Saccharomyces cerevisiae S288C: one gene and its partner. The protein of the gene in region 2 binds, or shares a complex with, the protein of the main gene of each other region. Each region holds a gene or a part of one and is shown on either strand. Other genes may lie near its edges. The genes, in order: RET2 and GCS1. A codon is read from its position in the direction of its gene.

Region 1 (4,262 bases), on a different chromosome or scaffold from region 2:
TGGCGCTTAATGAAAAAAATGTAATGAAATATAAATGTGTTTTTCCCTCCCTTAATATTATTATTCTTATGAGTGATGCCCTTATGTTTTTTTTGCGGTCTAGTATATGTAAATATAGACACACACATATATATATATTTATGTGTATAATCCTAGCTAATAAACATTTTTAGATTGTTATTAGTATAATTTTTTCCACTTACTTTGTTCTCCGGGAGAGAAAAAGTTGTTTATTTTGTAGTAATTTTGTGCACATATTATATATACAAATATTACACAATATTTTCAATACTTATGGCATAATCCATTGCTTTTTCGATAATGTTTGTCTTTTGGTCTTCTTCATGCATCATTTCATCTTCGTAATCAGCTTTCTCCTTTGATTGGTTATTGAAGTAAACTTTCGAGTTGACAATAGGCCAGTTTCTCTCTAGTGCAAATTTTTCAGTTTCTTTTTCGTTGTTGAAAAAGAGCAAAGCCTTTATGTTGGAGAGAGGGAGAAAGTCGTAGGATAGCTCGGTATTTTTAGCAATTTCGTCTCTTATAGCTGATTTTAGGATATCGGTAAAAGAGTCGAATTCTGATATATTCTGCGACCCAGATTGCAGAAGATCCCATGCTTTCTGGTACGACCCTTCCATGAGCCATCTGTCTAGTTTGATAGGGTAAGACAAAAGTGAATCGTCTTCCAAGTTCTTGATATGTTTATCTAGATACTGCAATTCCGAGTGAAACTTGGTTGTGTTATTCTGAGACAATAAGTTCAACAAATACAGACTTATCAGCTTCGATTTCTTGTCAGATTCAGATAATTTATGATTGTTGCTAAAGTAGTAAGGCTTCAATTGGTTGAAGTAATTCTCGAAGCTGTCAAAATTGAAAGTTTGGATGCTAGCAAGGGCACCTACTTCCAGGATCCTTTTAGTAATCATCAAATCATTCAAATAGATGTCATTTTGAATGGATAAGTCAGGTATTAAAAGGTTATTCTTGATAAGTTCGATCTTGATAGGGGGCAAGAGCTTCTCACACGCGGCATAATCGCCGTTTTCAAAGGCTATGCTTAACGACTTGGTCAATTCGGCTAACGAGGGCATTACGATGGCTTCTTATCTCACTTCAATAGTACTTTCCACCGGTTATACTTCCGGCTTTTCCCTATTAATACAAGCTACAATTTCAATGGGTGGCAAATAATGTGTAGAATAGAAAATAAGCCGACAGGGTAATAAAGAAAATTTTTAGAAAAAAAAGGTTAGATGGCTTATTTAAGTTACAGGCTAGCGAAAAAAGGAACTTCAGGGCAAGTAAAGTGTTTGATTGGGCACTAGCATGGCTTATAAAGGCGAGCAATTGTCGAAACTAATTAATGTTGTACGGACTATTGCTGTCTTCTCGTGGTAAATGCGTGTTCCAGGTCGAATACTACTTGCACACAGGCGAGCGGGGCCCCATAAAAGTGTTGCCGATTTGTTAAGTTGTCTTTTCGGTTTTTCTACTCTGTTATTCCTTACTTCCCTTTTTAAGAACTCTTTTTATCCTTCATTTAGGATCTTGCACGTTTCCGCCTCATCACTTGAATTAAAACATGTCTCTGTCAGTAAACCTTGGCGTTTCTATTGTTCTTCATAGTTCAACTTTTATTATTACCCGCCCTGCGCGTTTACATTTTTCCAGCAACAGCCAGCGAAAAATTAGAAAATCTGGTTGTTGACACCTCAAGAACAAGGGCAATTAGCCTCAGCGTCGAATATAGATCATATTAGAATACCTATAGCTCCATCAAAAGAAATACACAATGGTGGTTTTGGCTGCTTCTATCACTACGCGTCAGGGGAAACCTCTCTTGTCCAGGCAATTCAAAGATCTGTCCAAGGATCGAGTCCTAGAGTTGCTGTCCAATTTCCAGAACCTAGTCTCCGAGATCTCGTCAGACCACACATTTGTCGAGGACAAGCACGTCCGCTACGTGTATAGGCCCTTTGATAACTACTACATTATTCTTATCACAAACCGCCAGTCCAATATTATCAAGGATTTGGCCACATTAAATCTGTTTTCACAGACGATCAACTCCTACTTGTCTAGTTTCCAAGACCAAGAGATTTTTCACAATGCCTTTGAGATCTTGTCCTCGTTCGACGAAATCGTGTCAATGGGCGGGTACAAAGAGAACTTGTCCTTTACTCAAGTGCAAACATACTTGTCTATGGAGTCGCACGAAGAAAGAATCCAGGAAATTATTGAGCGTAATAAAGAGATCGAAGCTACTGAGGAGAGGAAGCGCCGTGCTAAGGAAATTGCTAGAAAAGAACATGAAAGGAAACACGGGTTTATGTCTTCAAATGGCGATTACGACGGCGCCAATAGGTTCATGGGAAGTAAAGATCCTAACGTTACAAACGCCATCAACAGTTACTACTCCCATGCTTCTCCTGCAGCACAACAGTCTTATCTACAAAGTTCCCATGCCGCTGCTGCTGAGGTGGCCCCAGTGGCCTCCCCAATGGCTACGTCTCAGCGTGCGGGACATTCTGCTACTGGCGGTATGAAATTGGGTGGTGGTGCCGGAAGAAGAGCGGGTGCCGCACCACGGCCAAGTGCAATTTCTTCAGCCTCTTCTGGCACTCCACCTCCTCCGGAGGAGGATGTCCCAGAGAACAATGGTATTTTGATCTCTATCAAGGAGGTAATCAATGCAGAATTCTCCAGAGATGGTACCATTCACTCTTCTGAATTGAAAGGTGTTTTAGAACTAAGAATTAATGACCATGACTTATCTCACTCGAACCTAAAACTAGCTGATTCTATTGACGTTCGCGATAAATCCTTCCAGTTTAAGACCCATCCAAACATAGATAAACAATCGTTCCTATCCACTAAACTTATCTCCCTGCGTGATAAATCTAAGGCTTTCCCAGCCAACGACCAAAGCCTGGGTGTTCTAAGATGGCGTAAAGTCGCTCCCGCAGAAGATGACTCATTAATTCCATTAACTCTAACTACATGGGTTTCCCCCTCCGAATCACAACAGGGCTTTGATGTCATTATTGAGTATGAGAGCGTCCTGGAAACAGAACTCGCTGATGTGATCTTCACCATTCCAGTTTTCCCTCAGGAGCCAGTAGACATAAATACAGAGTCTTCTACATGCTCTGACGCTGAAGTTGTCAACATGGACCAAGAAATGGGAACCTCCATTAAGATTAGCAAAATTGCTGCCAACGATGCAGGTGCGCTAGCATTCACTATCGAAGCTCCATATGAAGATGCATTGTACCCAATGACCGTTTCCTTCCAAGAGTCCACGAGGGATAAATTAGCTAAGAGTTTCACCGGTATGGCCATACAATCTGTTGTCATGGCCAATGACCACGATCAAGAGCTCCCTTACGACGTCATCACCTCTTTGAAATCAGATGAATATCTTGTCCAATAGTACGTTACATTCACATATAAAATACTTAAGTTATATACACAAACTAAATAAATAAAAATCGAGGTATCTTTTCTTTCGTCCTTCTATATATATAGTTTAACTTACTCTTATTCTTTATTATTTTTCCTTTTAGGGTTACCCGTCAATCCTTTTTATTAAAGATGTTCCAGCTTCTTGGTTTAGAATTTGCCACCTTAAATACGTACCCACATAGTAAAGTACAGCTAAGTTAAGAAAGGGGATAAGCAGCAGGAATCCTTCATCTTCCGCCGAAAACAACATAAAAACCCACACGAATGAATCACGATCCTTTCAGTTGGGGCAGGCCCGCAGACTCTACTTATGGTGCTTACAATACACAAATTGCGAACGCAGGCGCCTCTCCCATGGTTAATACACAGCAACCAATAGTAACAGGTACTTCCGTCATATCAATGAAATATGATAATGGGGTTATCATTGCAGCAGATAATTTAGGTTCATATGGCTCTCTTCTAAGATTCAATGGCGTGGAGAGGCTTATTCCCGTGGGTGATAACACCGTTGTGGGCATTTCAGGTGATATTTCTGATATGCAACACATTGAGAGATTATTGAAAGATCTAGTCACTGAAAATGCGTATGACAATCCTCTAGCGGATGCTGAAGAAGCGCTCGAACCCAGCTATATTTTTGAATATCTAGCTACCGTCATGTACCAGCGAAGATCAAAGATGAATCCACTTTGGAATGCCATCATTGTTGCTGGTGTACAGTCTAATGGTGATCAATTCCTAAGATACGTAAATCTTCTAGGTGTTACGTATTCGTCTCCCACCTTGGC
Region 2 (3,589 bases):
AAAAAACAATCCATAACTACTAAGGAAGGGTATAAATGGTTTGGTTTACTAATTTTATATTTTGATTTGATTAGCAATTATAATCTCTAATATACTATTTCTGTAGCCAAAAATCTGCAATGTCAATAAGTAGCAAGTGCCGCTTACTCGTGAGAATATCAACCTTATAGCATATGTTTTCTATTTTTTTTTTTTGCTTATGGAGATAATGAACATTGTACACATGAACAAAGTGGTAGTTCTCTCTCCTTGATTTTTTGTGCTTGCGATATATATAATTGTTACATTCAATGGCCATGCTAAATAAAGGTTTTAGCTTTGTTTCACTCGTGCCCAGGATAATTTTAAGGCGCAAACATCCAAATAATGAAGAAAAGGATAACGATTGTCCCAGGTCTAAAACATTTTTTAATAATAGCCGTCATTAGCCTTGCAACAGTACAACAACGCCGATGGGAAAGGATTGCAATTCTATTTGTAATTAATAGGTTGTATAATAATTTACGATATGGCCTTGTGGTAACTATTTATGAATACTGGTGTAGACTTATTTATAATCCTAGAGAGTAAACCTCTTCTTGTCAAGATATGAAAAATACAAATTTAGAGACAGAAGTATTACGTGTAAACTTTACAGAACCACTTCTCCATTATAGCTACAATGTGAATTGAACTTTCCTTGAATGTTGAGAAAAACTATATTAAAATTAGAAATCGTCCCATTTGTCCTCGTCCTGTTCATTCTTCTTATCGTTATTATCAATCTTTTGATATTCTGTATGGGTTGTATTCCCTGCTGTAGAGCTATCCTCTGCATTACCATTGAAATTTTTAGTGAAGTTACTAAATGCTTGGAATCCATAACTACTCGTTTCTTGAAACTTTTGGCCAAACTGGGCAGCTGCTCTCTTCGTTTCTTCTGACAACTCTCCGGATTGCCATTGCTGGACGTGAGGCTTAATAACCGTTTCGTTTACGTCCTCGAACGATTTGGTTACAGCGCTGGAGAAGAGGCCCCATCCTCTGCTCAATGTTCCCAAAGGATCAGCTTGAAAATTTTCCAGGCTCAAAGTATTGCTGGACCCTGCAGACCGTTCTTGTGGAGGTTTTGCGGGTGTACTTCCAAAGCCCTGATATTTACCACCTTGAGAAGGGGGCAAATGATCTGGTCTAGATTGGTTCTTCTTGCCCAGCTCAGCAAAATAAGCTTCGTTCTTCTCCTTTTGAAAATTGGCACCATTACTAGAGTTTGCTGGTGTTGCAGATCGACGGTTCTCCAGTGGTGTCCCTTCTCGACTTTGAGCAACACCAGGCGTAGCGGATGCAGCGGTTTGAGAGGTTGCTGATAACTTGGAAGCATCAAAATCCAAATGCTCACGCTCTTCAAATACTCTATCTTCGCAAAGACATGTTAACTTTTCTTTATAATCCTCTGCGACGGGGTTATCGTATTTCACTTTTTGTGGTAAACTCAGGTCAATATTATGCGACTTGAACCATTCAGTCAAAGGTTCGTTACCACCTTTTTCCATACGAAGAAGTTCCTCCGGTTTAAACTGATCCATAGTGATAGATCTTACAAAAGATATATGCACACCAAGCCCTCTATGGATACCGGCACATTCAAGGCAAATGAAAGCTCCAAACTTAGGCGTGGCCCATTGTGGATTTGGCGCACCACAATCCATACATTTCTTATTTGCACCAATCTTTTGCAATTGCAAAAGACGCCTGCGGGTATCTGGGTCCACTTTCCAATCTGACATGCTCTATAATCCGCGATAAAATTGCTCAATTGGCACCATTTAAACTCAGAATCACGTCCATATTTCTGCTTTCATTCTTGATATAGTTGTGCAATTTGGTTCTTGACAAAAACTGGCGTTGCTTGCGGGTAACCGCGCGATTTTTAAAGTGCCAAACTGCGAAAAGAATATAACAAGCTTTCGAGCAAGATCAATGTACCCAGCAAGTGAAATAATAAAACAAGAGCCCCAAAGATCTGCTTATAATTGCTAGAAAAATATATTATTAATCATGAGCACTGCTTCAACACCGCCAATTAACTTATTTCGTAGAAAGAAAGAACATAAACGTGGGATCACATACACAATGTTACTATGTGGGCCAGCAGGTACAGGAAAGACCGCCTTTGCTAACAATCTATTGGAAACTAAGATCTTTCCGCATAAGTATCAATACGGTAAATCAAATGCTAGTATTAGCTCTAACCCAGAAGTAAAAGTTATTGCTCCGACAAAAGTTGTTTCATTTAATTCGAAAAATGGGATTCCATCTTATGTTTCTGAATTCGATCCAATGAGAGCCAATTTGGAACCAGGTATTACCATCACCTCCACTTCATTAGAACTTGGGGGCAACAAAGATCAAGGAAAGCCAGAAATGAACGAGGATGATACCGTGTTTTTCAACTTGATTATGACGCATGGTATAGGCGAAAACTTGGACGATTCGTTGTGTTCTGAGGAAGTTATGTCGTATTTAGAACAACAATTTGACATTGTTTTAGCTGAGGAAACCAGAATTAAAAGGAATCCGAGGTTTGAGGACACCAGGGTTCACGTAGCATTATATTTTATTGAACCCACTGGACACGGTCTGAGAGAAGTCGATGTAGAGCTCATGAAAAGCATCTCCAAATACACAAATGTACTGCCAATAATAACAAGAGCTGACTCATTCACCAAGGAGGAGCTAACTCAATTCAGGAAAAATATTATGTTTGATGTGGAAAGATACAACGTCCCAATTTACAAATTTGAGGTTGACCCTGAAGATGATGATTTGGAATCCATGGAAGAGAATCAAGCCTTGGCATCCTTGCAACCATTTGCTATTATAACTTCAGATACCAGAGATAGTGAAGGTAGATACGTTAGGGAGTATCCGTGGGGGATAATATCAATCGACGACGACAAAATTTCGGATTTGAAAGTTTTAAAAAACGTCCTGTTTGGTTCTCACTTACAAGAATTCAAAGACACCACGCAAAATTTGCTTTACGAGAATTACCGTTCCGAAAAACTATCGTCCGTGGCCAACGCTGAAGAAATTGGTCCTAATTCTACAAAGAGACAGTCAAATGCTCCAAGTTTAAGCAACTTTGCCTCTTTGATAAGCACTGGTCAATTCAATTCTTCTCAAACTCTTGCAAACAATTTGAGAGCGGACACACCAAGAAACCAAGTAAGTGGAAACTTTAAGGAAAACGAATACGAAGACAATGGCGAACATGATTCAGCAGAAAATGAACAGGAAATGTCTCCCGTGAGACAGTTGGGTAGAGAAATAAAACAAGAAAATGAAAATTTGATAAGATCTATCAAAACAGAATCTTCACCAAAATTCTTGAACTCTCCGGACTTACCAGAGCGTACCAAGTTAAGAAATATTTCAGAAACCGTTCCATATGTCTTGAGACATGAAAGAATTTTAGCAAGACAACAAAAACTGGAAGAGTTAGAGGCCCAGTCAGCTAAAGAATTACAAAAAAGAATTCAAGAATTAGAAAGAAAAGCACACGAATTGAAATTGAGGGAAAAACTAATAAATCAGAATAAACTAAACG

Evidence for each region.
Region 1: the proteins of GCS1 (region 2) and RET2 are in contact, whole or in part, in a crystal structure (PDB 5FJX), measured with the Saccharomyces cerevisiae proteins. Residues at the interface, in NP_010055.1 of Saccharomyces cerevisiae: Lys348 (codon at 725), Trp349 (codon at 722), Asp350 (codon at 719), Phe352 (codon at 713); in NP_116709.3 of Saccharomyces cerevisiae: Lys348 (codon at 2,840), Thr349 (codon at 2,843), His350 (codon at 2,846), Pro351 (codon at 2,849), Asn352 (codon at 2,852), Leu366 (codon at 2,894), Lys371 (codon at 2,909), Ala372 (codon at 2,912), Phe373 (codon at 2,915), Pro374 (codon at 2,918), Ser379 (codon at 2,933), Leu380 (codon at 2,936), Gly381 (codon at 2,939), Val382 (codon at 2,942), Leu383 (codon at 2,945), Arg384 (codon at 2,948).

Annotation. Positions count from the first base shown.
Region 1 is NC_001138.5:249,340-253,601, reverse strand, and holds RET2 (coatomer subunit delta), read left to right. Parts: upstream 1-1,798; coding exon 1,799-3,439; downstream 3,440-4,262. Other genes in the region: HXK1 (hexokinase 1), read left to right, coding at 1-10; proteasome regulatory particle lid subunit RPN12, read right to left, coding at 273-1,097; PRE4 (proteasome core particle subunit beta 7), read left to right, coding at 3,736-4,262. UniProt on the Saccharomyces cerevisiae protein: The coatomer is a cytosolic protein complex that binds to dilysine motifs and reversibly associates with Golgi non-clathrin-coated vesicles, which further mediate biosynthetic protein transport from the ER, via the Golgi up to the trans Golgi network.
Region 2 is NC_001136.10:50,408-53,996, forward strand, and holds GCS1 (GTPase-activating protein GCS1), read right to left. Parts: upstream 1,767-3,589; coding exon 708-1,766; downstream 1-707. Other genes in the region: septin SHS1, read left to right, coding at 2,038-3,589. UniProt on the Saccharomyces cerevisiae protein: GTPase-activating protein (GAP) for ARF1 and ARF2. Involved in intracellular vesicular transport. Required for transport from the trans-Golgi network.